Linked DNA regions of Struthio camelus. The protein of the gene in region 1 interacts with the protein of each later gene in a pairwise test. Links are inferred from orthologs where the notes say so. Each region holds a gene or a part of one and is shown on either strand. Other genes may lie near its edges. The genes, in order: EFHC2, NCDN, CCDC120 and CACNB4.

Region 1 (7,150 bases):
AAAAAGACCTAAGAGCTGTGAAAGGATTTCTCAGTCCCCATTTGCAAAAGCCAATCCCTATTGCCATCAAATTAGACTCCTTGTTCCTAACTACCTTAAAGCTCAGTTTCCAGAAAAGTCACAGTCTCCTTACTAAGCACCTCCAGGTTAGACAAAATGGATATATCCACCTCTCCCCCTGCCTTCCTTCTTCATAGGCCCTCCTTCTTTGTAGGCCTATGTAAGAGGCAGGTGGAAGCATTAGAGGAAGACAAACAAAGATTTTGGCAGTAGTAGGCGCCGTGATAAGAGCTAGAGTGGAATTAATACTCATAATTATAAAGCGAGAACTGACAGGAACAGCAGTCACCTGTCCCCTGCCCTTCCTTCTTAAAGGAATACTTTGCCACTACTACTCCTGTGTTATATATGAGGCACTGATGGCAATGCCCAGATTACTAACAGATGTAAATACTTTTTTCCTATTCAGTGTATCTGTAGTAGACAAAAATTTTTTTCTTTAAATGTGTACTTCTTGGACCCTCATTAGTGGAACAATATAAAAAAAAAATCCAACAGCCAACAACTGAAGAAAGCAATAGAAATGCTTTTCAAGAGAGGGCAATGGTCAGTATTAACTCTACTGTAGCAAGGACTGCACAAAAAGAGCAATTTGGAGCCCTAAGAACAGTATAAGCATGGTTTTACAGTACCTTTAGCTCTCATAACATACATGTTTTGAGACTTATGTAATTCAGCATGGAGTGTCCTTCACTATACATAAGTAATTTTTCTCAAGCATATGAAGCCAAGCACTAAGCCATACCTCCAGAAATAGAGACATAATGGAGACAAAACCAACTCATTGCTGCTGTGGAGCTCCAGCAACAACTCCATCACACTCCATAAACTCCCTATCAATTAAGGTCAAATGAAGTCTGCAGAACAATAAAGTCCTGGGTAACACAGCTGAGCTATTCTTCTTCCATCCAGCACCTCACAATGGTACACATCTATTTCAATGTTACTCATGTGCCCACTTGGCCACTACCTGAAGCATCATATACACAACCAATTTGTTACAGTACAGAATTGAATTCAGCGAGAGAGATAGAGGAAGTGACTTAACAAAGGTTGCCAAGTGAGAAATGTATATGCTTTTAGAGCATCCCCTCGTCTTCTCCAGTAAAAAAAAAAAAAATAAAAGAATCGAGAACAGAACAGAACAGCAACTAGATTCAGTACCTCAGGTAAGAGAAGAACATTATAAAATGGGTAGGAAAATAGGGGCACAGGAGTGAAATTTTCTTATACACATTTTCTAACCACATGTGGACATAGCAACAAAAAGACAAGAGGAGGGCTGCAACTACCAGCAGCCTTTTCTTCTAAATCAACAGCACCCAACCTGCTATTTGTAGGGAATAAGTTGCTTGAAAGATCCTCACTGCTTGTAAGCTGGGCTTCTGCTGCAAGAGGACCTGTGTCTGGGTGCATCCATGCAATGCTGACACACCAAATCTGGCTGAGGAGTCCACATGTGTCTACACAGTTGCACGTTCCCTGTATGAGTACTGTGCAGCAGTGACCTGGGCAGCTACGGTTGCCCCCAGCTGGCAGAGAGGACTGCCAGAGGTTTTACACCGGACTGCACTTAACGTGGATGGATTCATTGCTCATAAAGTGGGCTCCCAGCTACGCTAACAGCACGGGGACATCTCGTATTAAAGGGGTACTGACACGCTCATGGTATCATTGGCATTAACACATGCATCTTGACAAATCATTTTGGAAACTCTATCTGCCTCTGCATCTCACCTCAATTACCTTATTGCCCCCTATAATCTTACTCTTTGAGCAGAACAGACTCAGAAGCCAGCAGCACCTCAGCAGCCAAGCTGCAGAAACTAGGGCTCCGATGCTCACATCATGATCAAAGTGTGAGAACAAGAGATTCCCTCCTGGATACTTTCATTTTAAGATTATTAAGAAAGCCTACTATGTTTCATCTGTCTCCCATAGGCATCAACCACAGTGCCATGCCCAAATTCTTCCTTACCTTCTGCACTATTTAATGATGCAGATGCTATTCAGCAAATTTTTTGCTATTTTTGCTGAACAAGCCTGAAGTAGTGATAGCAACCTTTTTTTTTTGGCGCTATTGCAGCTCACGATAAAAATACAATCTTCTCATATATTCACTGCTATGAGTACTTAATAGCACTGGCAGTTCTGAAAACCACATCATCACTTCTATTTTTTTTCCGCTTTGCAGAAACTTTTCAGTTTATTTACAGCATACTTGTCTCTCCCCACTTCACTTTGTTAGAGATGCGGCAGGAGTTCCAGACATCCAACGCTTACCTATTTGCAACGTATTCCCACTTTTAAATTAAGGAAGAGGGTTCTGATATTTTATATGTATAACAATATCCTGCTTTTCATCTCCTGGATGTGTGAAAGGCTTAAAAAAAAAAGCCTGATTTAAAAAAAAAAAAAAACTTTTAAAAACCACGGCTTTTTAAACTTGTGTGTTCCCCCAGGCCGTGCGTGTCATCATCGCAGGGCACCGCCGGACGCCAGGAGCACCGGGGAACCGCGGCGTGACCGCCGGGGCGGGCCGGGACAGGCCGGGGCGGGCCGGAAACCGCCCGCTCCCCGCCGAGGGGTAAAGCCCGGCGCCTCCCGGCCACAGCGGTCCCCACGGGCAGCGCTCGCTCGCCCGCCCGGCCCGGCCCGGCCCGGCCCGGCGCCCTCCCCGCGGCGGCGGGAAGGGGGATCGGGGGCCGCCGTCACTCACGTTCCGGTCGAAGGAGGCCCCGGGCAGGAGCGGCAGCGCCATCGCCGCCCCCTCCTCCGCCGCCGCCACGCGCTGTTGGGGGCTCCGTTGCCCGGAGACCGGCCGCCGACGTCACCGAGGGGCGGAGCGGAAGAAAGTTCCCTTCCCCCCCGCCCGCCCAGCCCAGCCGCCAGGGGGCGGTAGGGGGCCGCCGCGCCCCAGCCCGGGGGGAGGTGCTTGTTCTGGCCCCGCCCATCCCCGCCCCGCCCGGGATCGCCCCGCCCCGCAGCCGTTACCCCTGTCCGGCCGGCGGGGCTGCCCGGTGGCGACCGTTGGGCCGCTAGGGTGGGCGGGGCCGCGCTCGTGAGGGTGGCGGTTCTGGCCCGCCGGGGGGGCGTTGGGGTGTTCGCGGCCGGCCTGTGGCCGGAGTTGGCTCTGACTGCGCGTTTATTTGGCATATGTCGCTGCCGGCTTCTTCGTAAAATCTCCCCCAACTTACCTCCGCCCCAAAGCTGTGTATGCTCTGCGCAGGTATGCGACCCCTCCTTCCCCTGGGCAATCGTGTCTGGCTGAAAAACCACCTCCACCCGAAAGAATTGTGCAGCTAGGGTCACAGAGAGGGGCAGATCCCACCCTGTTTGCCGTTTTCTGCATGGATTAATTTTTAATGTGTGGGTTTTTGTGTTTTTTTTTTTCTTCTTCATTGCATGACTTTTTTATACCGCCTGTTTGACTTCGGGGCCCTGGCGGGTTTGGAGGAGGGGAGATGCTTTTACATGTTTTTGTTTGTTTTTTGCATTTTAGTCCACTGAGAGCAGGAAACTAGGTCAGTGGGTTTTCACTTTCTGGTTTCCCAGTGCTATATTATGCACCTGCATTTGCATTTGTAGTAAGGAAAGGTAAACATTTAAAATACTTTTTAATTGAAAATAAAAGGAACCATCATTTTAATCACATGCACTTCATATAGTGGGTGGTATTACACCCAAATTTAAATTTCAAAGAGAAAATATACTGAGAGTTCCTCACGGATGGCTTGGAAGGGAGGGTTGTTTTTTTCTTTGATAGAACTAACATTTTCCTTGTTAATAAGGGAAAATACATTCCAGATCACCTCCAAAGCATATTCCAGAGACCAGCAACCACGTTATGTTAAGTTCTTCCATTTTGCCTAAAGCTGTTTGTGTATATTTTTCTCTACTGGAAGTATTTTTAACAGAAAAATGAGTTTATGGACAAAATTGTTAGCTGAAACCCAAATATTTCAATTTTGATATGCCATCATGCTGTCTCCGAGGAGCCATACTTCAGTTACTTAATGTCCTTATTCTCATAGATGGAGTGATTCTCCCCTGCCATATTTCATACTCTGTGATGCATCAGACCATGAAATTCCCATAACATATCATCTCTCCTCCCTGGAAGAGAGGCTTGTGGAACAGCATGGGCAACGTATTCAGTCTAAATGAGTCTAGGAGGCACTCCCTCTAAAGCTCCCATGGAGCACTTGTGCAGCGTTTGCTAGCAGAATTGTTCTGTGGTCAGTATATTGTGATATCAAAAATTGCAATTTCGGTTAAAAATTTTCAATTTTTGCCATAAGTTACAAAAAGAGGAAAGAGAGAGAGAGAGAGAAAGAGAGTGAGAAAGAAAGAGGAAAAGGAGGAAGAAAGGAAGGAGCAAAAACAAATTCAGAAAGGCTTATTGCAGGGCATGCAACACTTTCCTGTACTTCAGCAGTGGACCACTTCTGCGTTTCCTGATGTTCTTTGTATGTTCATGTGATCCTCCAATATCCTTTCCAATATGTCTTTATGTATCTAACAAACGTCGTACAGGAGACTGCTGGCATAGTCATAAAAAGTACCTTTCGGCTTGGCAGCTTTCATTAGAAGGAAAGGATCTTCATAAAATGGATCCAAAGCATTTTAGAATGTGCGTGTACGTATATGTCTTTTGGAGATTTTTGAACCAGCATAGCTACTTCTTTATACAGAATCCCCATAAGCCCCATATCACTAATAGTACAGCTTCTCATTTGGGAAAATAACCATCATCAACACACAGTGGTGAAAAATTAGTGTATCTATCTTTGCACCTCACTCTTTCTGTAGAACTAGTATGTCCTGTTTAGTTTTTGTTTCTCATTACATAGCAGGGCAGTTGAAATGCCCGAGTCCTCCTCTGGTATCAATAATAACCAGTTGCAATAAGATTTCAGGCAATACTGCCAGAGGCTACCTGTATGAAAGATGTACAAGGGAAACAGCAGCAGTTTTTTAGGAGGGATACTGAAATACATGGCATCAGCAGAGAGTATGATGCATTTTCAACAGAAAATCCCATGAATCGTCCCTGACTTGTGGGTCAAATTTTCCTGCATAGGAGTACCTTCTGCTTCATCCCATAAAGAAGCTACAGGGAGCTGTGAAGAAGGGAAGCATCCTCCCAGTACACAACAGCATGCTTGCAATGTGATGTTTTCTACCAGACTTCAATCAAGTTTTGCTTTCAGAAGTGGGGGGAGGGGGGAAGTATATCCTACTGAGTCATTTTCTCTTACATTACCTTCCCTTTGGGGTTTCTCTCGCATTGTTATCTTTTTTGTTCCTTGCAGTATTCACTCAAGAATACAGACCAAGTGAAAACAAATTAATTTTAATGTCTTTTCTGGGAAAAATAAAAGTCCTACAGGAAAACCATTTTTGATAAAAGTGTTTTATTAAATGAAGATTGTTAATGACAACAAAGGCAAGCAGTAGGCAATAGTAAATTAACTGTATATTCTGACAGTACTCTTAAGGATAATAGTTACAATGGTGAAAGTACATAAGACAACATTAGTTGTACAGTTAAAGAAGGAAGAAAGCAGGAGGGAAGCTAAAGCTGTAGAAAACATGGAAGATATTATTTCAGTGTTAAAAAGAGATTCAAATCTCTTTTTATTGGAATTGACATTTACTAGCAAACTCCAAATCAGTAAAGGAATTCAAGTTGTAAACTTCTGAGCAAACTACAACTTTCCAGAAAAGGCCTCATTTTGCTCTTTCTGTATGGATTTGACCAAATGTCATTGGCTCCAGACTTCCGGACTCTTAGTCTGTTTGACTTGAGAGGAAGACCAGCTCCAACAAGTACGTTTCATATCTCTCTCTTCTGTGAACTCTTCAGGGAACTGAAACTTCTGTTCCAGTCATGTATTGATTGGAGCTGTGATAAGCACTTTGTTTTTCAGTTAGGATGACATAATATTTCAGAACATGACTCCCTAATTTGTACTTCCTTTACTTCAGAACAAACAGTGATCTGCGCTTGCATCAGGAATGGACATCATTCAAGAGTGTGAAGGGGAAAGACTTATCTTTGCTGGAGTTATGTCAGTTTGCATACACCAGGAAAGTTTGACTGAAATCAGCATTATTTAATTATTTTATTCACTGTAAAGGTATGTTTGTGCTTCGGTCACAGATATTATTTCATCCTCTTCCTGGGACTGGTTTTACAGGCCATGCTGAGGCTGGGCTGCCCAAAATAGGTTGTTCCCAGGCTGCCTAGTTTAAAGTGAATTATGGCCATGCATGGATTATCAGGCAAGCACACACCCAGACTTAAACATAACTGAAACTAACATACACTTAAGTAGGTAACAAAAATTAAGAATGGAAAATTCTTGCCTATTGATACGTTCTTCCTTAGAAAAATGGCAAGCACAAAACAGTCATCGCAGAAATCACACAGAAATAGGAATAGAAGAATTAAGCATGTGCACGCGCGCACACACACGTGCAGAATTGCAGCCCTAACGATAGCTAGTTAACTTAAGAGAAAAAAGGGTAATTCCTGAAGTGGCTATTCACTGCAGTGTAATATGGGTCAACTCATACTATCATTCTTCAAACACAGTGCCATCACAATCAATGAATGATCCTTAGAAATATTGATTCCTTATATTTTGCCATCTCTTTTATTACCTCATTCATTTTGTTTTCACCAGTCAATGAACATGTAGCATTTGAAAATACTTCTTCAAAGGGCACGAAACAACACTCTGACCATAATTTTTAGCTGCAGCTGTGGAGCGCTCCAAACAACCCACACATCCCACACAGGAAAAATCCAGCATCTGTGTGGCATTTATGTGGTCTGTGCTGGCCACGTACCACAAGGTCACTTAGTTTACCATTGCTGCAGTTTTCCACTACCCCAAGAAAGCGAGGTATCAAGCAGTACGTGGCCCATAACCTCTTTCTCTGGTTATACTGCAGAGAATAGGAGAACAGAGAAGCAGTTAGTCCCAGCTTGGTCTCACTGGAAGGTCTCCTTAGCTGGAATGACCTGCCCGTGGCTAATACTCCAGTTCAACAAGTCCTGAAGGCATGCTTGCATGTGAAT
Region 2 (7,490 bases), on another chromosome or scaffold:
CCATAAGCAGCTGCAAGGCACGGTCAGAGCCATAACTGCAATTCACATAGGCCTGGCAGAGGGCAGACACTGTTCCTTTGGACACCAACTCTTTGGGGCCCCTGGGAGTGGCCATGACAGCAGTCAGACACTGGTACACATCATCGACCATGGATGAACTGTCCGGATTACAGGGGGAAACCAGGATGTCATTGAAGGTTGGGATCTTGTTCAGGATCTGGGAGTGGCCAGCTAACTCTGGATCGGTGCAGAAACACGCCAGCAGGGTAAGGCCAAGCGCCTGGAACATGTGCTCTGGGCAGCCTGCCGGGGGCTCCCGGGAGGTGAGCAGGCGATTCGGAAACGTGAATCCAATTGCATCAAAGATCTGGCGACGGGTCTTAGAGTCTACTTCTCCTGCTCTGACTGCTTTGGTGACCTGCAAGATAAAGCAGGGGCGAGTGGGCAGCATAAGAAGAGGCTTTGCTAAGGCTCTTTACAAGGTTGAACAGGTAAATAAGAAGCATAAAGAACTTTCATCTGTACAGAAAAGTGATTCCCCGACCACTGAGCTGGGTACTTGGTCAAAGTTCTAATCCACAGCTTTACCAGAGTGCTTCAAGAGGTGTTGATTAATGCTCAGGACACCCAGGGAAAGGAGAGGCTATGTCCCTTTTGCTAGCGGGAACATCAGGGTATAAGCACTTGAAGCATCTTGCCCCCAAACTCCCAACATGTCAGCAAGCACAGCTGAAAACAAAACTCAGGCATTCTCATCTCAAACGCTCCGGGCTAAGAGCAAGTTTTGCCTTCTCTACTTGCTTTTCCAGCCAGGCTGTCTATCAGAGAGCAGCCAGGCCTGTGTTCTTCTGAAGCGATTACACTCAGTGGCATTATCCCAAAGCAGATTCTTACCAGAAGCAAGGCTGCAAACTGCTCGCTGTCGTTTTTTGCATCCCTGAGCACATCAAGGCACCTTTTCAAAGTTAAATTTCTGGATCCTTCAGCACTGGGAGCAGCTCCAGAGTTTGAAGCCATGGTGATCAGTTCAGCTGCAAATGCAGAAAGCCAGCGTTTAGCAAAACAGAAATAGATGGGAAGATAAAAGAGCTGCAGTGAAAAATGAGCATATCCTCTGCTCTTCCCTAGCCCCTACATAGAGAATTAGGAGATATTCAATTATATTAATAAGAAATGCTCCTCTACTCAACGTGTGCCTTCCTGAAAACGTCCTTGCTGAAAGGAGACTGAGGAATCAACACTAGTAGTTAGATTTTAAGATGAACTGCATTATTTATGGTTAGTAAATAAGATCTGTAGCCATACAAGCTGCTACACATATAATCAGCTGCAAAAATAGTTGGCTGCAGACATCAAGGACTCATTCTACTACATGCAGCAGGGATCTTGTTTTGAAACTTGAGGTTTCAAATAGCGTCTGACGTCTTATGACTGATTGCTTTGGAAGACATAGTTGGATCTGATATTGCAGGGGCCTGTAGCTTTATACCTGGAATCCTACGCTAGCACTAAGGAAAGGAAATTATTTCAGATCAGCACTTTGATAAAGAGAGAGATCATACGGTTAAAATGGGTTCCCGATCCCGGCCCCTGCCCCGGCCTCCGCCGCCGCTCGGGCACGGAGCACGCGGGCCTCGCCCCGCCTCCCAGCCAATCCGCGGGCCGCGCGCTCGGCGCCGGCCAATCGCCTACCGCGGTCTTAGGCGGTCACCGAAGCCGCCGCCGCCCCCGCGCGGCGTGTGGGCAGCTCGCCGGCGGCGGTGCCGCGCCGCCCTCGCCCGGTCGCTGTGGGAGAGGCGGCGGCGGCGGCGCCGCGTGGCCCGTGGCCGCGGCTCTGGCGGGAGGCGGCAGCCGGCTCGCGGCGGGAGCACCGACACTGGCAGGAGGCGGGCGGGGCGGCGCCGGCAGAGTCACTTCCGCTTCCGGAGGGGCGGCGGTGCGCTTCCGGGTGAGAGGTGAGCGGGCGCCCGCCGCCGCCAGCCGCCCCCATGGCCGCGGCGCAGGAGGCCGCGCCGCCCCCCGGCCCGGCGCGCTGGAGCCCCGGCCCCGCCGCCCGCCCCCTGCCGCCCGCCAGCAGCCCCGCCCGCCTCACCGCGCACCCCTGGTACGTGCCGCCGCCGCCCTCGCCCCGCCGCGGCCCGGGCAGGCCCCGCCGGCCGCTCCCGCCTCGCTGGGCGTCGGGTTCGTTTGAATAGGTGGCGACAAACCGGAGGAGTTGGGCGCGGGCGGTTTCCGTAGCCACGCGTGGGCCAGACGCCCGCGGCTTTGCTTTATTCCCCGCCGAGCCCCGTGGAATTTGCTTTTCGCGTCTCTTGCGGGCGTCAGCGTAGCCTGCTGTTCCCGCTGTTCGCTGCCCGGGGCTTGAGCCCGTTCTCTCGTTACAGAAAAAGGGTTTTTAAACGGTAGACTAGTAATCAGACCTCCGATAACGTTCCCCGTTGATTCTTCAGAAACGGCCGATCTAATTCCTTGTGCCTAATGATGCTCCACTACTCCTTGAAAAACGGGAAGTGTTTATTTCTTGTAACACTTTGTTTTCCTGTCATGCATTCCGCAGAGGAATCTGAGCGCTCCTTTAGCTGGCTTGGGTTTCACATCAGGGTTAGAAACGCTGAGAACGATCATCAGTGCTGTCCTCATGTGTGCCCTGCAGAGCGAAATATAGGGCAAAATAGCTCTTTAGCTGCTTGTTTCTCCGCGTTGCTGTGTTCTTTTCTCTCTTTGTTTCTGGTTGGTACCAGCCAGCACTGACGTGCAGCTGATGACATCGCCCAGCAGCTGTACTGGGTTTGTCAGTGTCTGTCTTATGCTAGCAGAGCCAACTGGGTACCTCTTGCCCATGGCGTATTCGAAACTGAAGTTTCCCGAATGCATCTCTGAAATTCAGTGTGTTACGGTACTAGATGTTTTGCGGTTAGTGCTCCATCTGCAGAAGTGGTGTGGTCTGGAGGGGAGATCATGGGGCTGAGATGGTCGTGTGCTGCAGTTGAACAGCTGGAAACTTTGCTACTTCAGGTTTCATTTCAGTGTTGCAATACTGATAGTTCCTTAGCAGCAGTTGGACTAAGTCACAGCAGATAAGATTAGACATTCCCTTTCCTGCACAAATGTTCCGTGCTCATCACTTTGTTGGCTGGGTCCTTGCAAAAACATACCAATTGCTGATACGTGTTTTCTCTTTCTTATGTGTTTCTAGAGCCCTGTTGCTACCCACAAAGGCCATGGAGAAAAAGTTGGAAGTCAAGTTCAGCATCGGCAATCGGTTTTTATCACAATACTGCCTGGGAAAACCTGCGAGGCATCTGGGAAGTCTGCACCTGTTCTACTTATGTGCTTGCCTGTGTGCCTTGTGCTCCTCAACAGGTGACTTTTCTGTTCTCCCTGGGACTGTATCTCTATTTTTATTTATATTTATCCTTCTCATTTAATAAAAATATTCAGAAAAGAAGGTTTATCCTTCTCATTTAATAAAAATATTCAGAAAAGAAGGTGAAATTATTAGCTGTTAGGCAGAGTAGCTGGTAAAATAATCTTGGCAGTTTGTTACTGAATAAGCTATCAAAAAGGTAGTGTATCCAAAACACTAGGTAGTGAAGAGATGAGGGGACTTTTTATAACACTGTATCATTCTAATAGCCATCTGCTATTGTGAATACAAAGTAGCCAGCACCAGTGTGTCTGCAGTAAAGTGTCTGTCTGTTCCATACAGCTAATGTTGGGGTTCTTCGTGCTTCGTGTTTGCTCTCAGGCATTTGCCTGCATTGCATAAAGCTCAGCTGAGAATCTGTTTTCTTTTTTTTTTTTTTTTTTGCAAAAGGAATAAGCGATATTCTGGGAAAATAATTTCATCTAAGGAATACTTGAACTTGTTTGAGAAGCCAAGAGTGTTTTCCAGCAGTCTAATATTAAAGACTTCCCCACAAACACAGTGTATCAATAATCTGAATTTACCTACGCATAATTGTTGTGCTTGGTATTTATTTCCTGTCCAAATTTGAGCAACCATCCTCCTGCCCAAGTAAATAACCAGATTGGTGACTTGTATGGACATTTTCATATGATGGATTTTTTTTTTTGTTTCTTTTTGGTTTTGTATTAAAAAGGTTCAGAGTCTGACTTTTCAGACAGAAGTGTTAAGTTCCTGTGAGTGCTTTTGGGGCCAAATATTTACGAAGATGATGATGTGTTCTTCCCGTGTGTGTACCTAGCACTTACCAAATGTTAGTGAAGATAAGAAAGTTTATACTGTGTGTTTTGGTTTTGTTCAAATTGTGGTGAACTATAGGTTTGAGACAGTGGTGACTTCGATATATAATTAACCTGTGTGACAGCTGCCGACTGCTTTGACCTTGCTGGAAGGTTGCCACATCTTAATGTTAGCATGATATGAAAAGCAGATTTTACTTTATTTTTTCTTTTTTTTTTCCTATTCTTTTCTCTCCATGGGTGGATGTGTTGTAGGCTGCTACAGAGTCCCTGTTTCACTGGGCTTTCCTGGATACTTACCAAGTGGTAGATTTGATTAAGCTAATCAGTTGTGTGACCTTAATCTACTGATTTAGAACCTGGAAAGATGCATTTATATTTCTGTTCTTAGCAAAGTGTGCTCGGTACTTAGTGTTTTGTTGGTGTATCTGATGGATTGCATGTTTCCTTGTGAACTGGACTTCCTGCTTAGTGTTTCCTGTCTTTAGTAATATTTCAGAAGCCTAGAGCAAGAGCTGCAGATCATATGTTGTGCTAACAGGGTGTTCCATACAGCGCTACAGCATTTGAGGGCTTGTATACTTGGGAGAGTTAGAACCATGGAGGCTGATGTGTGTATAGAAACAAATATAATTATTTGTGACATAGCTCTGCTTACGTGGATCTTTTTCCACGCTGGAGTCCATGTTCTTTTGGTTTTCATCTGAGTCACTTATCCAGCAGAGTTAAACTGAAGAGGAATCATGGTTATTTAGAAATCGGTGCAATCATGCAGACTTACATAAGAGGAACTATATTGACATAATTGGTTGCACGTAACAGATTAGAAAAAGCCTATACAGTCGAGCCTTTAATCATTAATGCCTATTGATATCAGATTAACTGCCAAAATAAGCTTGTGAACCTGAGCTCATTCATAGAAACTGTACTTAACCCTTTCATTCACCTACTGTTCAGCAGGAACAGGAACTCTGCAAGTTGAGAAGGGCAGCATTTTATCTGTTGATATACTAAAATAAATAAGCTGTTTGGAAATGGCTGAGTATGCACAGTTTGTAACAGTCAGGTGATTTTTATTGTGTAAGCTGGGTAGGCTGCTGGGGTTTAGGAGAAAACTTGTCCTCAGGGACATTCCTCCTGGGAGGTTTCTTATGCTTTGCTCTGAAGGTGCTGGCACTGATGCTGTCAGTGTCTAGATTTGCTGCTCTGCTAGCCTGACCAATCCGGAAGATCCTGTGCACTGTTGCATAGCGTCCAGCACCAGGAAGTAGAAGAGACTGAACAGATTGTTTGTGGCTCTGTCTTATAGCTTTCCACAAATGTTGCGTTATACCAGTAGTGCCCAATTCCTCCTGCTCTGCTATGTAGCTTATTTTAATAGCAGCGAAGGGCCGTGACTCTGACTTGTCATATGCCCAACATTGTGTATAGTAAGTAGAGCTGCTGCTCAGTCTTCTGTCCTGCCCTATGCGATGCCTGTCTGCTCTCTTGGAGAAGGCAGCTAGGAGATGGCTGCATTAATGGTTCTAGTGAACCTTCCTCCCCCACCCCCATGTATGGTTTTGTTTTGTTTTGTTTTTTAAGATCTGGAGCAGTCAAAGTTGGGTCTGGGCTGAATTAGTAGCTCTGGCTGTAGTCACAGCTGCCTTTTTTCGTTTGCTACAGGTACATGTCCACCTAGTGAAGGTCCTGCTGGAAGACTACAAGTAGCAGTTGGTGGCTTTTCATCAGAACAATTATTTCAGCCAGTAGCGTGTTCCTGCAGGACAGAAAGAAGTGTGGTGTAAACAGGCCAGGTGAATTTTCCTGGCAGACCAGAGATGCAACACAGGTGTAGACTTGCTTTCTGCCATGGCCCTTTAAATAGAGTTGTGTGGATCTGTGATGCCCACCAAAGACCACAGGAATTGCGTAGATGAAAATTAGTATGGTGGGTGAAAAAAATACATCTATAGTGCTGTGCTAGCATATTATGACTTGCATATTAACTTCTCTTGTTTCTGTGATTTCATTTTTAAGCTATCCATATACAGCACTTCAGAAACCATCTTGGTTTGTTTCAAATAAACATGTTCTAGGTGAGCATTAGCAGAGCTTTAGAAATGAAATCTGGACTAAGTGCAATTTAAATCTGTGCGCCTTGATTTAACAGTAGGCATGGCTCTGTTACACCTAGGAGATGCCTACAGTGATTCAGGTTTGAGATTTTAGATGAGTACATTTAACACTTGTATATGTAGGGATTTTTCAGAGCGGATGTCTTCCCTGGGAGTACTTTTTTTTTTTTTTTTAAAGTGTGCCCCATTTTGTGCTTACTTCCAAGTCTGCTGTTAGAAAGCCCCCAAAGAATTTCACTGGGCTCTGTATCAAGCTTTAATTAGTATGGTATGTATGAGCCAGGGCTGACATCTGAGGAGGCATGGATGAGCATTTGTCAAGGAGGAGGAAGAATGTTAGAGATGTGGACAGCAGGGTAGCGTATTTCTCTTTCACACAGGGTTCATTAGAGACAGTGCTTCACCTTTAAAAGAAAGTGAATTTTTAGACTAAATTGACTCAATGGATAAGATCCTTCTGAAATTCACAGCAACAGCATTATCCTTCCATTTGTAACTTGTTTCCCAAAGTCCAATCTTTGTGTGTGTATACATTCCCTGTACTCTGTCCCAACTCCAGACCCGTCAGGTTAGTGCCAGCTGCCTGTCCCTGCCTGTGTGCACAGTGTCATCCCAGGGTGACTCTCAGGCCAAGCACTTCAGAGTGTAATGAGGTCAGCTGTTGGCCCTGGGCAGGCAGGCTGCCACTTCTTGCTCTCGAAGGAAGGGCTCTATGTTGATGAAGTGTGACAAGGATGGTGCTGGTTTTAAAGGTGCTGTCGTGAGCTTCTCTTTCTGTTGAGCACCTGCAATGTTTCATGTAGACATTGCATTTGGACTTTTCTTGAGTGAAAAGCTTTTCATCCCTCCTTGCAGTTGTGGGTTCAGAAACCCACTGAGCGCACGGGTCCCCAGTGGCGAGGTCACACATCTCAAGTGCGTTCTGTGGCAGCTGATGCTGGCACTCTGTAGCCCTCTGTTTGCAGACTGCCTTTGCTGAGCTGGCCTCACACATGAGCTATAAATAAAACTTCTGCTTCCTCCTTTCTGATGTCTCAAAACCAAACTCTCCTTCATGGGGGTATGAGTTCCCATTTTGGGTTGAAATTTTTGCTGGTGTAGCAAGAGATTCTACGCAAAAGGTACGTGAATTTGACTGTCACTTTTCATTTTAAACAAGCTAATCTG
Region 3 (7,981 bases), on another chromosome or scaffold:
CGCCGCCCGCGCCGCCTGCGGGGCCGCCCGGTGGGTGCCGGGCCTCCCGGGGCGGCGGCGGGGCGGGGACACGGGGCAGCGGGACGACGGCCGGGCAGGGACACGGGAGGGGTACGGTAACCGGGCAGGGACACGCCAGGCCCGGCAGGTACACGGGAGGGGTACGGTGGCCGGACAGGGAGTCGGAAGGGGTACGGTAACCGGGCAGGGACACGCCAGGCCCGGCAGGTACGCGGAGGGGGAGGGGGGACGGTGGCCAGGGTGGGGGAGTGCGGCGGCACGGGAGCCCGCGTGGGACACGAAGGCTCGGTACGGGGGCCCGGGGCCCTCATAGACCCCAGGGGACCCCCTCAACCACTCATTTCCCCCTTGGACTCCCGTTGCCCCCCCGAACCCCCATTTACCCCCCTAGGGTGCCCCCAGCCCCTCTTTCCCCCCAAGACCCCCATTGCCCCCCCCAGGCCCCTGTTACCCCTCCATTGCCCCTCAGCCCCTAAATGCCCCTCAGGACCGCTCCAACCCCCCCCCCTTCTCTCCCCCCAGGCCCCCCATTACCCCCCCCCAGTTCTCCTTATTTACTGCCCAGGGCTCCCCCAGCACCCCCCAGGCTGTACCTCGGTGAGGGGCCCGCGGGGGGGGGCCCCGGCGCGGCGCCGCGGGGGGGGTTGGGGCCTCTCGCCCGGCTCCAGGGGATACTCGGGGGGCAGCTTCCCCGTCAGCTCCTGCGCACGGGGCGCGGGGGGCTGTCAAGGGGGCCGGGAGGGCCCTAGAAGTGTCCGGCAGGGGGCATGGGGGTGCTGGGGTGGTCTGGAGATGCTTTGGGAAAGTCTGGAGGGGTCTGAGAGTGCTATAGGGGTCGGGGGTGCTGTGGGGGGTCTAGAGGGGTCATGGGGGGGTTCTGGGGGGGGCCCATGGGAGTTCTGGGGGGGTTGTGGGGATATGGGGGTGTTATGGGGGGTCCAGAGGGTGCTATGGGGGGGTCTAGAGGGGCTGTGGGGGGTCCTGGGGGGGGTCTGTGGGGATATAGGGGTGCTATAGGGGGGTCCAGAGGGTGCTGTGGGGGGTCTAGAGGGGCTGTGGGGGGTTCTAGGGGGGCCCATGGGGGTCCTGGGGAGGATCTGTGGGGATATGGGGGTGCTATGGGGGGTCCAGGGGGTGCTGTGGGGGGTCTAGAGGGGCTAGGAGGGGTCATGGGGGGCACATGGGGGTCCTAGGGGTGCTATGGGGGTCTGGGAGTGTTATGGGGGGTCCAGAGGGGTGCTGTGGGGGGTCTAGAGGGGCTGGGGGGGTCCTGGGGAGTCGGGGGGCTATGGCAGGGGTCTGGGGGGCCTATGGGGATGCTGGGGGGCTATAGGGGGTCTAGAGGGTCTGGGGGGCCCATAGGGATCCTGGGGTAGGAGGTCGGTTTGGGGTCCCCGCGGGGGGGTCAGGGGTCACTCACGGCCTCCTGGCGGCAGAGGCGTCGCAGCTCCTGCAGCCGCAGCCCCAGGGCCTGGCGCAGCCCCCGCTGCCGCTCGCGCAGCTCCTGCAGCCGGGCCGGGCCCCCCCCCGGCCCCCCCCGGCCCCCGCCGCCTGCCGGCCCCCCCGCAGGGTCAGTGGCGTCACCATGGCGACCGCCCGGGCGGGGGGGCAGGGGTCAGGGGCAGCAAGGGGTCAGAGGGCAGCAGGGGGGTGGGGGGCACAGTCAGGGGTCAGGGGACACCATGAGGTCAGAGAACAGAATGACACGGGGGTCGGGTTGGGGGTCAAGGGGCACCGTGTGGGGGTCAGAGGGCAGCAGGGGGGTCAAGGGGCACCACCAGGGGTCAGAGGGCACTGGGGGGTCAGGGGGCACTGCAGGTTGAGGGCAGTGCCGGGGGGGTCAGGGGGCACCACGAGGTCAGAGGGCAGCAGGGGTGTGAGGGGCACCCCCAGGGGTCAGGGGGCACCACCAGAGGTCAGGGGGCACCGCCACTGGGGGTCAAGAGGGCACAGAGGGGTCAGGGGGAACCGCCAGGGGTCAAGGGGCAACCGCAGGATCAGGGGGCGCCACAGGGTCAGAGGGCAGCGGGGGTGTGGGGGGCACCACCAGAGGTCAGGGGGTTTCCCTGGAGGTCAAGAGGGCACAGTGGGGTCAAGGGGCAACTGCAGGGTCAGAGGGCGCCATGGGGGCAGGAGGGGGGACGCTGGGGGAGGGTTGGGGGCACGGCGGGGTCGGGGGGTTCCTACCTGTGGGGCTGTAGGCGCCGGTGGGGAGGACGTGGCCCCTCACCTCCATGCTGGCGGGTGCCGCAGGCCGGCACCCATGAGCCCCGCGCCGCGCTGCGCCCACTGCGTCACCGGGGGCCCAGGTGTCCGGGGAGGGGCCCAGGTGTCCAGAGAGGGGACCCAGGTGTCCGGGGGGCCCGGGAGACCAGGGAGACCCAGGAGACCAGGGGGACCCAGGCGGCCGGGGAAGGGACCCAGGCAGCCGGGGAAGGGACCCAGGTGTCCGGGGAAGGGACCCAGGTGTCCGGCTCCCCCCTCGCCTCCGCCCCGGCTCCCAATTTCCGCCTCCCGCTTCCGCCTGCCAGGCCCCTCCCCCGGGGGCCCAGGCGTCCAGGTCACCCCTCCCCCCCCCCGATCTAGGTGTCTGGAAGACCCCTCCCTCTCCCCCTCCCCATAAGGGGCCCAGGCGTCCGGGTGTCAGTTCCCCCCCTCAGGGACTCAGGCATCCAGGTGCCCCCCGCAAGGGGCCCAAGTGTCCGGGTGTCCCCCCCCCAAAGGGACCCAGGCATCCAGCCCCCCCCATCCATGGGGCAGTGGGGGGGAGTCCTTCCCACAATGCCCTGGGACCCCCCAATATCCCATCATGCCCTGGGCCCCTGCCCCCCCCATCCCTTACCTCAACCCGGGGGGGCTCCGGCCGAGGGGAGGGAGTGCGGCAGCGCACACACGTGTCCAGGAGTCGCACACGCGTGTCTGGGGGGGGTCACACACGCGTGTGGTGGTGGTGCCTGCAGGTCCGGGGGAGGTCAGGGGGCCGGTGCCCCCCCCCGGCCGGTCCCGGGGGGGGGAGGGTGCATGGCCCGGGGCGTGCGACACGCGTGTGCGGGCGGCGGCCGGGCAGGCGGCACGGCGCAGGCGCGCACACGCGTGTGCAGGGCGGTGGCGGGGGGGCACACGCGTGGGGGGGCAGGCGGACGCGGCAGCCTGAGACACCAGGACGGTGGGGGGGAACCCAAGCGTCTGGGAGAGGGGCCCAGGCGTCCGGGTGGGCCCAGGCGTCCGGGGGAAGGGGCCCAGGCGTCTGGCCTCCCCCCACTCAGGGTCCCCCCTGTTGTCCCCCCCCCGTGATGTCACTTCCTGCCCAGCTCCCCCCCCCCCCGCCACTTCCTGCCGCTGGCCTGCTCGGGCCCAGCCCTGGAGGCTCCTGCCCCACGGCAGCTCCCGAGACCCCCTCCGGCCCCATAGCAGCCCCCCAGGGACCCCCGCAGCCCCATAGTGGCCTCCCGGGACCCCTCAGCCCCATAGCAGCCTCCTCCTGCCCCATGGTGGCCCCAGCCCCATAGCAGCCCCCTGGGCCTCCCCACGGCGGTCTCGCTCTCCAGGCTCCCCCCAGCCCCATCGCTGGCCCTGTAGAGGCTGCCCCGGCCCCGCAGCAGCCCTGCCAGCCCCGTAGCCGCCATGCTGGCCCCATAGCAGCCCCCCGCCGCTCCTGTCAGCCCCGCAGCTGCCCGTTGGGCGCGGGGCGGGGGCGATGTCCCGCGGGGCGGCCGAGGGGGCCCCGACGGCGCCCCCCGGCCCCCCAGCGGGGCCGCCCCCCGCCCGCCCCGCTGTCTACCTGCTGCTCGAGGAGCCCAGCGCCCCCGACGGCCTCCGGCTGCTCAGGTGAGCGGGCGGCCGGGGCCCCCGGATCCCCCCGGCACCCCCCCGTCACTGGATCCCCCCAGGTCCCCCTGGATCCCCCCTCCCCATCGCTGGATCCCTCCTGGGACCCCTGACCCCCTCCGGACCCTCCCCTCGGTTACTGGGTCCCTGCAGATCCCCTAGATCCCTCCTGGGATCCCCCCAGCCCCCTTGGGACCCCCTCAGCACCCCCCCAATCACTGGATCCCCCCAGTCCCCCGGCCTCTCCCGTCACTGGATCCCCCCCGGGACCCCCCAGTCACTGAATCCCTTCTGGGACCCCCTGACCCCACCGGGACCCCCTGTCACTGGACCCCTTCAATCCCCCGGGATCCCCTCTCCCCATCACTGGATTCCCCAAGACTCCCCTGTCCCTTGTCACTGGATCCCTCCTGAGACCCCCCCCCCGATCCCCCGAGTACATCTCCCCAGTCGCTGGCTCCCCATGGATCCCCCCAACCCCACCCCACCTGTCAGCAGATCCCCGGGACGCCCCTGTTCACAGGACCCCCCGATCCCCTCCGGGATCCCCTTTTCAGCCACTGGCTCCCCTGGGATCCTTCCACGTCCCTCCGCTCACTGGGCCCTCCGGGTCCCCTCGAGACCTCCTTCCCAGCTACAGGATCCCCCAGGGACCCCTCAAATCCCCCAGCATCCCCCTGAGCTCCCCCCATCACTAGGTCCCCCTGATCCCCTCGGGGATCCCCTGCGACCCCCTTGGGACCCTTTCCTGAGTCACTATATCCCCTGGGACCCCTCCAGCCCCTCTGGGACCGCCCCCAGTCGCAGGATCCCTGGGATCCCCAGCAGTGCTGCAGGGCGGGGGGTTCGGGGGGATCCAGTGATGGGAGAGGTTCAGCAGGATTTGGGGGGGGATCCCTGGGGATCTGAGGGGGGCTGAAGGATGGGGAGGGGCTCAGGGTATCAGGGAACAGAAGGGATAGGGGGATCCAGAGAAGATCTGGGGGGATTGAGTGGCAGGGGAAGGCTTTGGGGGGATCAGGAGGGATCTGGGAGGATCTGGGGTGATTGGGGGGATCCAGAGGGATAAGTGGGGATTGGGGGACCCAGAAGGGATCTGGGGGGACCTAGGGGGTGATTTGGGGGGACTAGGAGGGATCCAGGGGGATCCAGGAGGTATCAGGGAAATCCAAACGGATGTGAGAGGATCCAGGGATTATGGGGGGGGGGGGTCTAGGAGGGAGCAGAGGGATCTGGGAGGGATTGGGGTGGTTGGAGGAGGATCCATGAAGGACCGGGGTGTTTGGGGGGATCTGGGAGGGAGCGGGGAGACCCAGGAGGGACCTGGGAGGGATGGGGGAGCGATGAAGGATCATGGAGGGATTGGGGGGGATCTACGAGGGATCCGGGGGGCACCAGGGGGGCGGCGGCGGCGCTGAGGCGTGCCCCACAGCGTGAGCTCGCCGCTGCCGGAGTCGGGGATCGTGGCCGACATCGAGTGGGAGCGCGGCCCCCCCGGGCCCCCCGGCTCCCCCCCAGCCCTGCCCGGCCCCGCCCCTGGACCTGGACCAGGCCCTGCCCCCGGACCAGGCCCCACCCCTGCTGCCTTCTGCTGCCTCAAGACCCAGCCCCTCCCACACAGGTAACCCCGCCCCCCACCGCGACGGCCATCTTCCCATGCCCCCATGCGCGCTGCCATCTTGCCCCATGTGGTGGCCATCTTTCCACGCCCCCACGCGCGCTGCCATCTTGCCCCATGTGGTGGCCATCTTGCCCACACCCCCACATGTGAGACAGCCATTTTACTCACGCCCCCCACGGACGCTGTGGCCCTCCTACCTCCTTCCTCGGTGGCCGTGTCTGCTCTCAGGCCCCCCACAGCCATTTCCAGCCCCCAGACCCCCATGGCAGCCATTTCCCCCCCCCCCAGACCGCCATGGCAGCCTCTTCCCTCCCACAGACCCCCAAGGTGGCCATTTTCCCTGCTCTGGCCCCCCATGGTGGCCGTTTTCCCTCCCACCATGGCCATCCTGTCTCGCTTGGCAGCCATCTTGCCACACCCGGCAGCCATCTTGCCACACCCAGCAGCCATCTCCCCCCCCCCCCAGAGGCTCTCTACTAACGGCCTCCCCCAGCCCCGGGCCGTCGGGGCCCCCCAGCGACACACCCGGGCCGGGCCCAGAGGCGGCCATGTCGTCGCGGGTGCTGCTGCGGCAGCAGCTGATGCGGGCGCAGGCGGAGGAGCAGGAGCGGCGGGAGCGCCAGGCCGCCCCGGGGCCGCCAGGGCCCCCCGCGCCCCCCACCCCCTCGCCCGCCATCGCTGTCGGCGCCCCCCTGCCCCGGCCTGCCCCCCACGTGCCCCCCGAGGTCCTCAAGGTCAGCTGGCGCCCTGCGGCATGGTGGGGTGGTGGGGGGCTGGGGCATGCTGGGATAGGGGAGGATGGGAGATGCTGGGGTGGGGAGGACTGGGGCATGCTGGGAAAATGGGAGGGCAGGGGATGCTGGGATAGAGGAGGACTGGGATGGCTCCAGTACATGCTGGGAAATTGGAGGTCTGAGGCATGCTGGGAAATGGAGGAGCCTGGTGCATGCTGGGAAGTGGGGAGGGCAGGGGCATGGGGGGAATTCAGGGCCTCAGGGCCCCCCCAGCCACCTGGATTTGGGGGATTGGGGGTCCTGCCCCACCCCACCCCCCAGATCCGGGGGGTGACGCAGCCCCGCGCAGGTGCAGACCCACCTGGAGAACCCAACGCGCTACCACCTGCGGGCAGCCCAGCGGCAGCAAGTGCGCCAGTACCTGAGCTCGGCCCTGGGGCGGGCGGCCGGCGGCCCCCCCAGCCCGCCGGGGCCCCCCGCCGCCCCCGCCGCCCCCCACAGCCCCCTCGCCCTGCTCCACATCGGCTCCGGCTCCGAGAAGGAGGTGGGTGCCCGCCCCGGCGATCCACACGATTTGAGAGCGCTTTGCACGATTTGGGGGAGTTTCATGCGATTTTAGGGAGGAGTAGTCTGACCCCTATCAGGAGGCTCCGCTGGGTTGTGACACCCCCCCGCCTTTCTGCCTCCTGCCCCAGATCGATGACGTCATCGATGAGATCATCAGCCTGGAGTCGAGCTACAACGATGAGCTGCTGAGCTACGGCCCTACCGAGGGCGGCCTGCAGCTGCCCAGCACGGTGCGTGAGGGGGTGGCGCTGCCCCTTTAAGGCCCGTGGGGGCCTGGTCCAGCCAGAGCCACGCCTCTCCTTGCTGGTTGGGGGGGGGGTGTGGCTGCTCCATATAAGGAAAGGAGACCGAAGACGGCTCAGGGGTTAACCCTGTGTCCATATATGGTGGGGGCATGGCCTGGGGAGGGGCAGGGGCGTGGTCTGAGTGGAGGCATGGCCTCAGCCCCATTCCAGCCCCCCCACGGGCCTGTCGGGGGGGGGGGCTAGGGGTGGGTGTGGCCTTGAGGGCAGGGCCCGACTGACCCCACCCCCTCACCCCTCAGCTCCCCGCCCCCGGGCCCCTCCTGGAGGTGTTCAGCCCCCCGGCAGGGGGCAGCAGCTCCTGTCCTGCCGAGCTGCCCCGTGTCAAGGCCGAGCTCTCTGGTAGGGAGGGGCTCCTGTGGGGCAGGATGGGGGCTAGGAGGGTCCCTGGGGGTCGCTATGGGGGAGGACAGGGGCTGGGGAAGGCCCCTATGGGATAGGGTGCCATCTAGGGGGGGGTCCCTTTGGGGCAGGATGATGTCTAGAGGTTTTCTATGGGGCAAGATGGGGTCTGAGGGTGTTCCTATGGGGCAGGATGAGGGCTGTGGGGGTTCTTGGGGGGCCCTATGGGGCAGGATGGGGTCTCTATGGGGCAGGAGGAGTCTAGTGGGGGTCTAGGGGGTGTTGCTCAGGGATAGGAGGGGTCTGGAGGAGGTTCTTCTGGGGCAGAGGTGGGTCTAAGAGGACTCCTATGGGGCAGGAAGGCAGCTGGGGGGGTCCTTGGGGGTCTGGGGGTTCTCTGTGGTGCAGGAGAAATCTAGGTGGGTCATTGGGGTCTTGAGGGGTGCCTATGGGGTAGGAGGGGCTCTGGGGTCCCTGGGGGAGTCCCCGTGGGGCAGGTCTGGCTGTGGAGGGCTGATGACGGTTTCTGCCCCCCAGAGACGGAGGCAAAGGCGCTGCTAAAGGAG
Region 4 (7,303 bases), on another chromosome or scaffold:
CATTTTGTATTTAAATTTGTGCAATTGGAAGGAAGCTTTTGTCTTTCCTTTTGACATGACATTAATTTGTCTTTATCCTTCCCCGTGAAGTAGCTTAGTATAAATAACACATGTTGCAATACTGAAGTATTTTGATAACTTGTTCCTTGTGTTCTTTAAAAAGAAGAATTAATTTCAATGCTGCTGTTCAAAATTCTTATCGTTGAGGAACTTTTTTGTAAAGAGTTTACTTTGTTCCAAACTGGTATGTAATCAAACTAAATCTTGCTATCATTTATGTAGAGTATCCACGTTTATTAGTAAAGGAGATAAAGGTAGGTATTTTTATTGGATTCAAAGATTTGATCCAACGGAAATATTGAGCAGTATCTTAAATTGCGAGAGCGAGACAGATGTGATTTGATTACATTTAGTTAATTATTTTATGAAATATAAATAATGTATATACTCATTTGTCTGAGATTTTCTACGCAGCTACATATAAGCATACTGTTAAAGCCTGAAATTTTATAAAAGCAGGATCTGCCATTCTGTCATCTCTTATATTCCTTATTCTGTGATATGCAACTTGTAGATAGTGTAAAATAATTTAATTATTAAAATTGTGTATTTAGAGGGTTTTGGTGTTAAAAGGATCTGTTTTTTCTCTTCATACTTCTATACATTATCATATTTATTTTTAAGGCCTGATTGTAACGGAACATGCTGCCAAAGGATTTATCTAACTTCAGATTTCTACATTAGGTTTATACCTACTGTTTTATATCAGGAATCAATGGTAGATAACTTCTGCTTTTTCATATAAACTCTTATTGTTTAACATAGAAGTTTGTGCAACTTTATAATGAGAATTTTATTGTAATATATTTGTTTCATGGGTGTTGAAAATATCAATACTAGATAAACTTTCTTCTAGTATGAGTTTGCAAGCTATTATGTCTAAGTTATAGTCCGCTGAAAGCAACAATTTAATTTGTCTTTAATATCACCATGCAGAGATGTGTTTTGGGAAATCTTAATGTTTCATATAGCCTTGATGTGACTTAGGCATTGTCTATTTAATTTGTTATAGAAATTACAATATTAAAAAATATAATGGGTTCTGTAACAGGTAAACCTTAAAATAATGTTCTGTGTTCATTTTACTTTGGCTTTTCTTTGTAAATGTTGACTCGTGGAATAGCGTAATCCTTCTGAAGGCTGTCCTTTAGCAAGGAGAGCTGGGGGGTCATGACTGTGCTGCAATCTCTTAGTCGTTATTTTCTGATAGGAAGATTTTTCTTTTTTTAATCTATGCATCTTTTCTAAGAAATAATAGGCACTACTCTTGCTTACACTGAACACTGTGATGTGTCTGTTGAATGAATAACTTTTTAGAATTTGTGGCTCTTACCAGTTACATTTTACATGAAGCTAACTGAAACTGTTTTGAATTGGAAAAGATGAAAAATGAAGGAAAGAGAAATGGGGCAGGTTCTGAGCACTCTTGAATTTTCTGTTAGAGTCACTGGAATTGTAGCATCTGCCGATCTGCTAGCTAGTGATCTGGCCCCCAAGGTTACACCATGCCGGAACTTTAAATTCAGATTAAGGTTCCACTTCTGTTTTGTCTGGGGTTTGAGTTGAACATCTGTTGGTTAATAGATGTATCGCAGTTCTTGCAGAAAATCATCCTAAAGAGTTTGCAGCCTTAAGAGTAAAGGGATGTGTTTTATTGGAGTACCCATCTGGCCTCTTGTCTGCAATGTGTGTGCATTGCCTTGTGTGAATAAAGCAAATTTGTTTAACAACACAGGTGAGGAGTTTTCTGTTCATGGCATGGTGAAATCCTTGCCAGAGAGAAGAGGCAGAGGCGACACGAGACGCTGCTGGCAGCGGATGGTTGCGTGAATGTCGCGGCTCCGGCCCTGGCGGACCCTGCTGTGCCCTCCGCTGGCTCTGCCCTCCCCATATTGGCGGTGGCACGTCGGCCACCAGCTCCAGCTCATCCTCTTCCAACCCGGTATCAGCAAAGCTAGTGCTCTGGAAGAGACTCCTTATTTCGGAGCTGTGCTACGTTCCCCTCTGTTGATGAGCTTTTCTAATTGGGAACCAGTGCTCTGTTACCTTTAATTGCCTATAAGCTAGGCTTAGTGTGCGAGAGTGACAATACTGCTACATGTTGGGTGTTAATTGTGGAATCAAAGAGGAACAACTGATAAATACCAGTGCTACTACACTTCACCACAAATGACGTGTTCATATAAACAAATACACTGCTCTTAGGATGTGCAATACAATCAAATTTTAAGAGCCACGATTCATTACGGCTTACAGTGGGTTTTCAAGGAGACGCTAAACAGTCTATCCAAAAATATTTCTAGCACGCACAAAATAACTCCTTATGCTTTGAAGATATCCTCTACTAATGCTGTGAATGGACTCCAACACAATGCATGCACTTGGTAACAACTTATATTAATTATTATTCAGATATTTAAACCATTGTATTCCACCATTCATTTACAACATCCTTTTGAGTTACTAACCCCCATGGCTTCATTTCAGGTCACGTTACACAGTAAATCTACATCTTACCAAAGCAAAGCACTTACTAAATTATTGGCAAAAGCAATACTTAAGCCTTGTTTTTCCTTTCAAATCTCAGCCTAGACATTGCTATGTCTTGCTAAAATGAGAAGGTGACGTGCTTAATTTTCTGGACAGTATCTTAATTTGGGAAGCCAGCCATGTACTCAGGCATGCTAATGTTTAAAGAAAAGTATCCTTCCTAGTGCTGGTTTAATGATTAAACAATTTAAAAAAATCTAATTTAGACTAGAGCGTTCATGACCCACATTCGTCTTGGATAAAGAAACCAGGCTGCCTAATTTCACCCAAGGCATTTGCAAAAATCTACAGTTTGTGTCTACAGCGGGAGAGAAAGACGTGTTTGCTGTGTGCTGCAGGCGTTCCCCAGAGGGGCGCGTGCGCTGCAGGTAGCCGGTGGAGATCACTTTTCAGAGCCTGATTTGGGCCCGTCGCTCAGACGTTTGCCTTGACGCTGCTTTGGTTTCACGCGCCGGTTTCCTTAGCTGCACGAATCCTTGCTGAAAACTGAAGGCTGCAGCGAATGCCTGGGAAGGGATGGCCTACAAACGTAGATAAAGTCGTCACCCCGTGCATTAGAGGAAATGGTAGCGCTTTGATACGTCTGTACGCTTTCCTTCTCTATCCGTTTCCTGGTTAGTTGAAAAAAAATTTTTTTTTGGAGAGGGGGCTGCTCAACGCTGCTTGGTTTAACAGTGAGATCAGCTCATTTCAGTGGGAGGTGCAAGCTACTTGTAGTTAAAGCACAGGAGTGGGAAGCAGGAAAGCCAGGTCCTGTTTCCAATTCTTCCCCAGATTTCCTGCTAAACTTCACGTTAATCACTTAATCTCTGGTTTTATTTTTATTCCTCTGCAAATTGCAGCGCTCTTGATGCATGGCAGTCGGTGCAAATTAGCGCTGTGACGGGTGCTCGGGAAGTGCTAGGTGGCACCGCACGGGAGGCCCAAGGGTGCCCTTTTAAACGGCTGGAATGGTTTCAGCGCCGTTTCAGGTTAAAGAGGTCAAACTGGGTTCACAGTCCAGTACCGGTCCGTAGCATCTGCAGCCTGAGTCTGCCAAGGTGCCGTGCGTGGGACGTGGCGCAACGCAGCTCTCCGGGACGGATGGGGACGATCACCGGTTTGCGCGGCAAAATGAACACCGTCACGTTAGCTACGGCGATGGCCGTTAGTTTACGAGCCCGAATAAATTGCACGGCTTCGCCTAAGCAGACGACGCGGGGGGCTCCCGCCCTGCGCCGAGCTCCGCCAACCTCACCCCGGCTCAGGGCTCAACCGCAGCCCCGGCGTCGACGCTCAGCCGCTATCGCCTCGGCCGGCCCGGCCGCTCCCCCGTGCCTCGGGGACCCCCGGTTTCGGCTGCCCCCCTTCCACCCAGCCAGGGGAAACGGCTTCTCCGCGTGGAGGGGTGCGGGGGTGTCGCCTTGGCGGGGGCCGCTGCCGCCGCTGCCTCAGGGGCCGCGGTTCCCGCCTCGGGCGGCGCCGCCTCAGGGCCCGCGGTTCCCGCCTCAGGGGCCGCCGCCGCCGCCGCCTCAGGGGCCGCGGTTCCCGCCTCAGGGGGCGCCGCCGCCTCAGGGGCCGCGGTTCCCGCCTCGGGCGGCGCCATCTCGCGAGCCGCCCCCCGAGGGGCCGCGCCGCCGCCGCCGCCGCCGGAGGAGCCGCCCGCCGCTCCCGCCCCTCAGGTAGCTCTGCTCCCGCCCTGCCTCCTCCCTCCTCCTCCTCGCCCTGCCCCTCGGCGCGCTCGCTCGCCGGCAGGCAGCAGGCAGCCCCGCCGTGCCGATCCTCGCTGTCATGGCTGCGGTGGGTGCCGCTGCGTGGGGGCGGCCGGGCCGGGTCGGGTCGGGTCGGGGATGGCAGTGCGGGGTGGGGTGGGGTGGGGTGGGGTGGGGTGGGGGGGTCAGGCCGGCGGCGCGACCCTCATGTCTTCGCCTTCCCCGGCGCAGGTGACGAGGGGCACGGCGACGCGCCGCAGCCGCCTGAAGCGCTCCGACGGCAGCACCACCTCCACCAGCTTCATCCTGCGGCAGGTGAGGCCGGGCGCGGCCGCGGGCCGGGCGGGCGCTGCCGGCGGAGCGGCGCGGAGCGGGGCGGGAGCTGCTCGGGGCGCCGCCGCCCCGGCCCCGGCCCGCGCCCTCGGGGCCGCCCCGCGCTGCGCCGCTCCGCGCCGCCCCGAGGGCAGGTCGGCGCCCGGAGCCCGCTGCCCCCACCGGGGGCTGCGCGCAGAGCGCGGTGTGCTTTTTGCGTCTTTATTCCTTATCTTGTGTGTGCGTGTGTGGTTTTGTCCCCCTTGAAATACCTAAAATCGCAACTTATTTTCATACCTGGGGTCAGGCCAGCGTGCTTCACGTTCCCTGCTAAAATCGTGTATATATGCACACGCACACGTATATATCGTATATAATCATATATATATATATTTATGTGTGTGTGTATATGTATGTGTATATATAAAATATATATATTTTTTCTCCTTGCACTGCCTAAAAGTCATTTGGGAGAGCGCTGGGGTTGGTTGCCTCCCCGGCTCGCGCCGCGGAGCGCCCCGGCAGGAGTTCCCGGCCTCTTTCCGCTGGCGGCGTTAGGGAACGGCGCTCTCCTGCGTGGTGAGCCAGCCTTAGTAAACCGTTGGAAACGACTTGAAGACGTCCACGGATAACGTTTATTTGGCTTATTGCGTAGCTTCGTTTTAAATCGCGAGCACAAATCTCCTTGAGGCAGAAGCAAAGTTAGCAAAGTTTGGGGATTTGGACTCGCTCGTGTTCTTCTTTTGTTGTGATCAAAGTGGTTTGTTTTTTTTTTTTTGTTTTTAAGCACTGAGTTTAGGAGGGTTTTTGTGCTGCTGTTAGCACTGCTTTGAGAGCCCCGCTGTGGGGGACCGTGCGGCTCGGGGCCTCGCTCTGTGCGCACAGAAGCTGTGGTTACTCGGTCTCCCTCTGTACCAGATTATCCCCGGCCTCTGGGGGAAGGTGAAACACAGGAGAGCTGGACTTAACGCTGTAAGCCCCGAGTGTCCAAGAATTGCGAGAGGGAGGCCTGAAAAAATCGGTCTGAAGTTAACGATTGCTTTAGAAATTAGGTTTATTGTGTTTGCCTTCCAGTTTCTAAGCCGCAGCTTGCGCTTTGGGCTGGTTTTCTAGGTATTCTCTGTAACAGCGAGGGCAGGAAATACACTTTTCGGAAAGCATGAAAGCTGGGACTTTAGAGGAGTTGAGGATTTTTGAAAAACATGCTTGCAATGCAGCGTCACGAGCACTGGCCTCTCGGTTTGGGGCTTCGGGCTTATTGGTGCTAATTATACAGTTGTCCTGCTTCCCCTGGCGTTGCAGGAGTAACGCTAGCAATTTAGATGAAGCCTCCTGCTAACAGTTACCTTTTCTTTTTCTGTTTCCAGTCTTAGCTCTTGTCTGTTAGCTCTCCCGCGATAAAGTAAAAACTAGTATCCTTAGTCTCACCGAAGCTTTACTTTCTCTCTTAAATGATGCTTGCTGGAGAAACTTTGTTAATTTGCTTTAAAAGTAAATGAGATGAACTGTTTCTGGAGATTATTCCTTTTTACGTACAAAAAATTTACCCGGAGCCTGAACCCGTGTACTCCACAGGCACCCAAATCTCTCAGTGCCATTCGCAGAAATTTAGGCAATTACAAGGAAAGCAGAACTGGGTCCTTGAAAAACCAGGGGCCGCGTGTCATGCGTAGAAGCGTGTTTCGCGCAGGACGTGGAAGTTGTCAGTTGGATTGGTCGGTCAGATAAGGAGATATAAATAACCCCGGCAAGGTTTCTGTGGTGTTCTCCGTTCATCCTTCCAGGCCAAGCCAGAATCGCAGCAATTTCCGACTGGCAGCCAGCCCTCGTTTCCAGCGGAGTCAAGCGCGACGTCACCGTAGCCCCAATGACAGTCGGGATCTGAAGCATAAGGTGGTCTCAGCCAAATAACTTAGAATTGCGACAGTGCTAAATAAATACGCAAGGCGTTTTATCCCCACTTTGTGCGTTGTGGCAGTTCAGCAGATGCTGTGGGCCCTTCTGGAGATGTCCCGAACGGTCTCGTCGGTTGTCAGAAGTGTCATTTGAAGGGGTGGGTTTTGGGTCATACTCGCATAGGCAATTACGGGCTTGATCTTCAGGTTTTTGACCTGCTGGGTTGGTTTCGTTTGTGATTTAGACGGACGCAGTGAGGATAACCGGCTTCACTCCGGAGCAGAGCACGCGGTGTCTGAAGCGCGAGTCCACGGCGTGGGGGTTTTGAGCCCTTGCGTGTGTGAGAGCTCACGCGAGTGCCCGGGAAGGCTGCTGCTTGTGGGCAGGAGCCTGGTTTTCAAACAAACTAGCAAGGTGTCCTATTTGAATTATGCTGCACCTAATACCTTTTTTTGGGGGTTCAAAATACGCTGAAACGTTTCCTGTGCTTGAGACCCTTCTGTGTGTCTCACGTTGCAGGGCTTGGGGTGCTCTGTAAGTACTGTAGTGTGTTTCAACGCATCCGTGTTTGCTGTCTTTGTTTCTGAAACCCCTCCTTGAAGGATTGCTTTATAGTAGATAATACACTAAAGCGGTGCTGCCATATACCTGAGGCCCTTCATTTTGGTCTAATTGAATTATAAATCACAGCTTGTACGTCTTGCATCCTACAGTTTACCGAATTCAAATGGGAACTGAAGTGCGCAAGGATTATTTAGTTGTCCTTTATAGAGCAAGCCCTGTGGTGGCCAAGG

The links.
Region 2: the proteins of EFHC2 (region 1) and NCDN interact in binary tests that used the Homo sapiens proteins (3 or more experiments, as listed by UniProt). The two-hybrid records come from large-scale screens. The link is inferred for Struthio camelus from reciprocal best matches to the Homo sapiens genes EFHC2 and NCDN.
Region 3: the proteins of EFHC2 (region 1) and CCDC120 interact in binary tests that used the Homo sapiens proteins (3 or more experiments, as listed by UniProt). The link is inferred for Struthio camelus from reciprocal best matches to the Homo sapiens genes EFHC2 and CCDC120.
Region 4: the proteins of EFHC2 (region 1) and CACNB4 interact in binary tests that used the Homo sapiens proteins (3 or more experiments, as listed by UniProt). The two-hybrid records come from large-scale screens. The link is inferred for Struthio camelus from reciprocal best matches to the Homo sapiens genes EFHC2 and CACNB4.

Annotation. Positions count from the first base shown.
Region 1 is NC_090942.1:126,806,796-126,813,945, reverse strand, and holds the start of EFHC2 (EF-hand domain-containing family member C2), read right to left. Parts: upstream 3,016-7,150; 5' UTR 2,822-3,015; coding exon 2,780-2,821; intron 2,459-2,779; exon of another isoform or gene 2,344-2,458; intron 1-2,343. UniProt on the Homo sapiens protein: Microtubule inner protein (MIP) part of the dynein-decorated doublet microtubules (DMTs) in cilia axoneme, which is required for motile cilia beating.
Region 2 is NC_090964.1:9,874,450-9,881,939, reverse strand, and holds the start of NCDN (neurochondrin), read right to left. Parts: upstream 3,014-7,490; 5' UTR 2,914-3,013; coding exon of another isoform or gene 2,762-2,913; 5' UTR 2,421-2,761; exon of another isoform or gene 2,048-2,420; intron 1,928-2,047; exon of another isoform or gene 1,693-1,927; intron 1,652-1,692; exon of another isoform or gene 1,490-1,651; intron 1,032-1,489; 5' UTR 1,018-1,031; coding exon 895-1,017; intron 419-894; coding exon 1-418. Other genes in the region: KIAA0319L (dyslexia-associated protein KIAA0319-like protein homolog), read left to right, coding at 2,762-2,913, 3,197-3,363. UniProt on the Homo sapiens protein: Probably involved in signal transduction in the nervous system, via increasing cell surface localization of GRM5/mGluR5 and positively regulating its signaling. Required for the spatial learning process.
Region 3 is NC_090979.1:318,898-326,878, forward strand, and holds the start of CCDC120 (coiled-coil domain-containing protein 120), read right to left. Parts: upstream 3,003-7,981; 5' UTR 2,864-3,002; intron 2,858-2,863; exon of another isoform or gene 2,302-2,857; 5' UTR 2,258-2,301; coding exon 2,209-2,257; intron 1,573-2,208; coding exon 1,442-1,572; intron 723-1,441; coding exon 615-722; intron 16-614; coding exon 1-15. Other genes in the region: TFE3 (transcription factor E3), read left to right, coding at 3,719-3,849, 5,282-5,470, 5,937-6,204, 6,554-6,748, 6,900-7,001, 7,316-7,415, 7,953-7,981. UniProt on the Homo sapiens protein: Centriolar protein required for centriole subdistal appendage assembly and microtubule anchoring in interphase cells. Together with CCDC68, cooperate with subdistal appendage components ODF2, NIN and CEP170 for hierarchical subdistal appendage assembly.
Region 4 is NC_090947.1:44,648,907-44,656,209, reverse strand, and holds the start of CACNB4 (voltage-dependent L-type calcium channel subunit beta-4), read left to right. Parts: upstream 1-4,290; 5' UTR 4,291-4,380; coding exon 4,381-4,389; intron 4,390-4,532; coding exon 4,533-4,616; intron 4,617-7,303. UniProt on the Homo sapiens protein: The beta subunit of voltage-dependent calcium channels contributes to the function of the calcium channel by increasing peak calcium current, shifting the voltage dependencies of activation and inactivation, modulating G protein inhibition and controlling the alpha-1 subunit membrane targeting.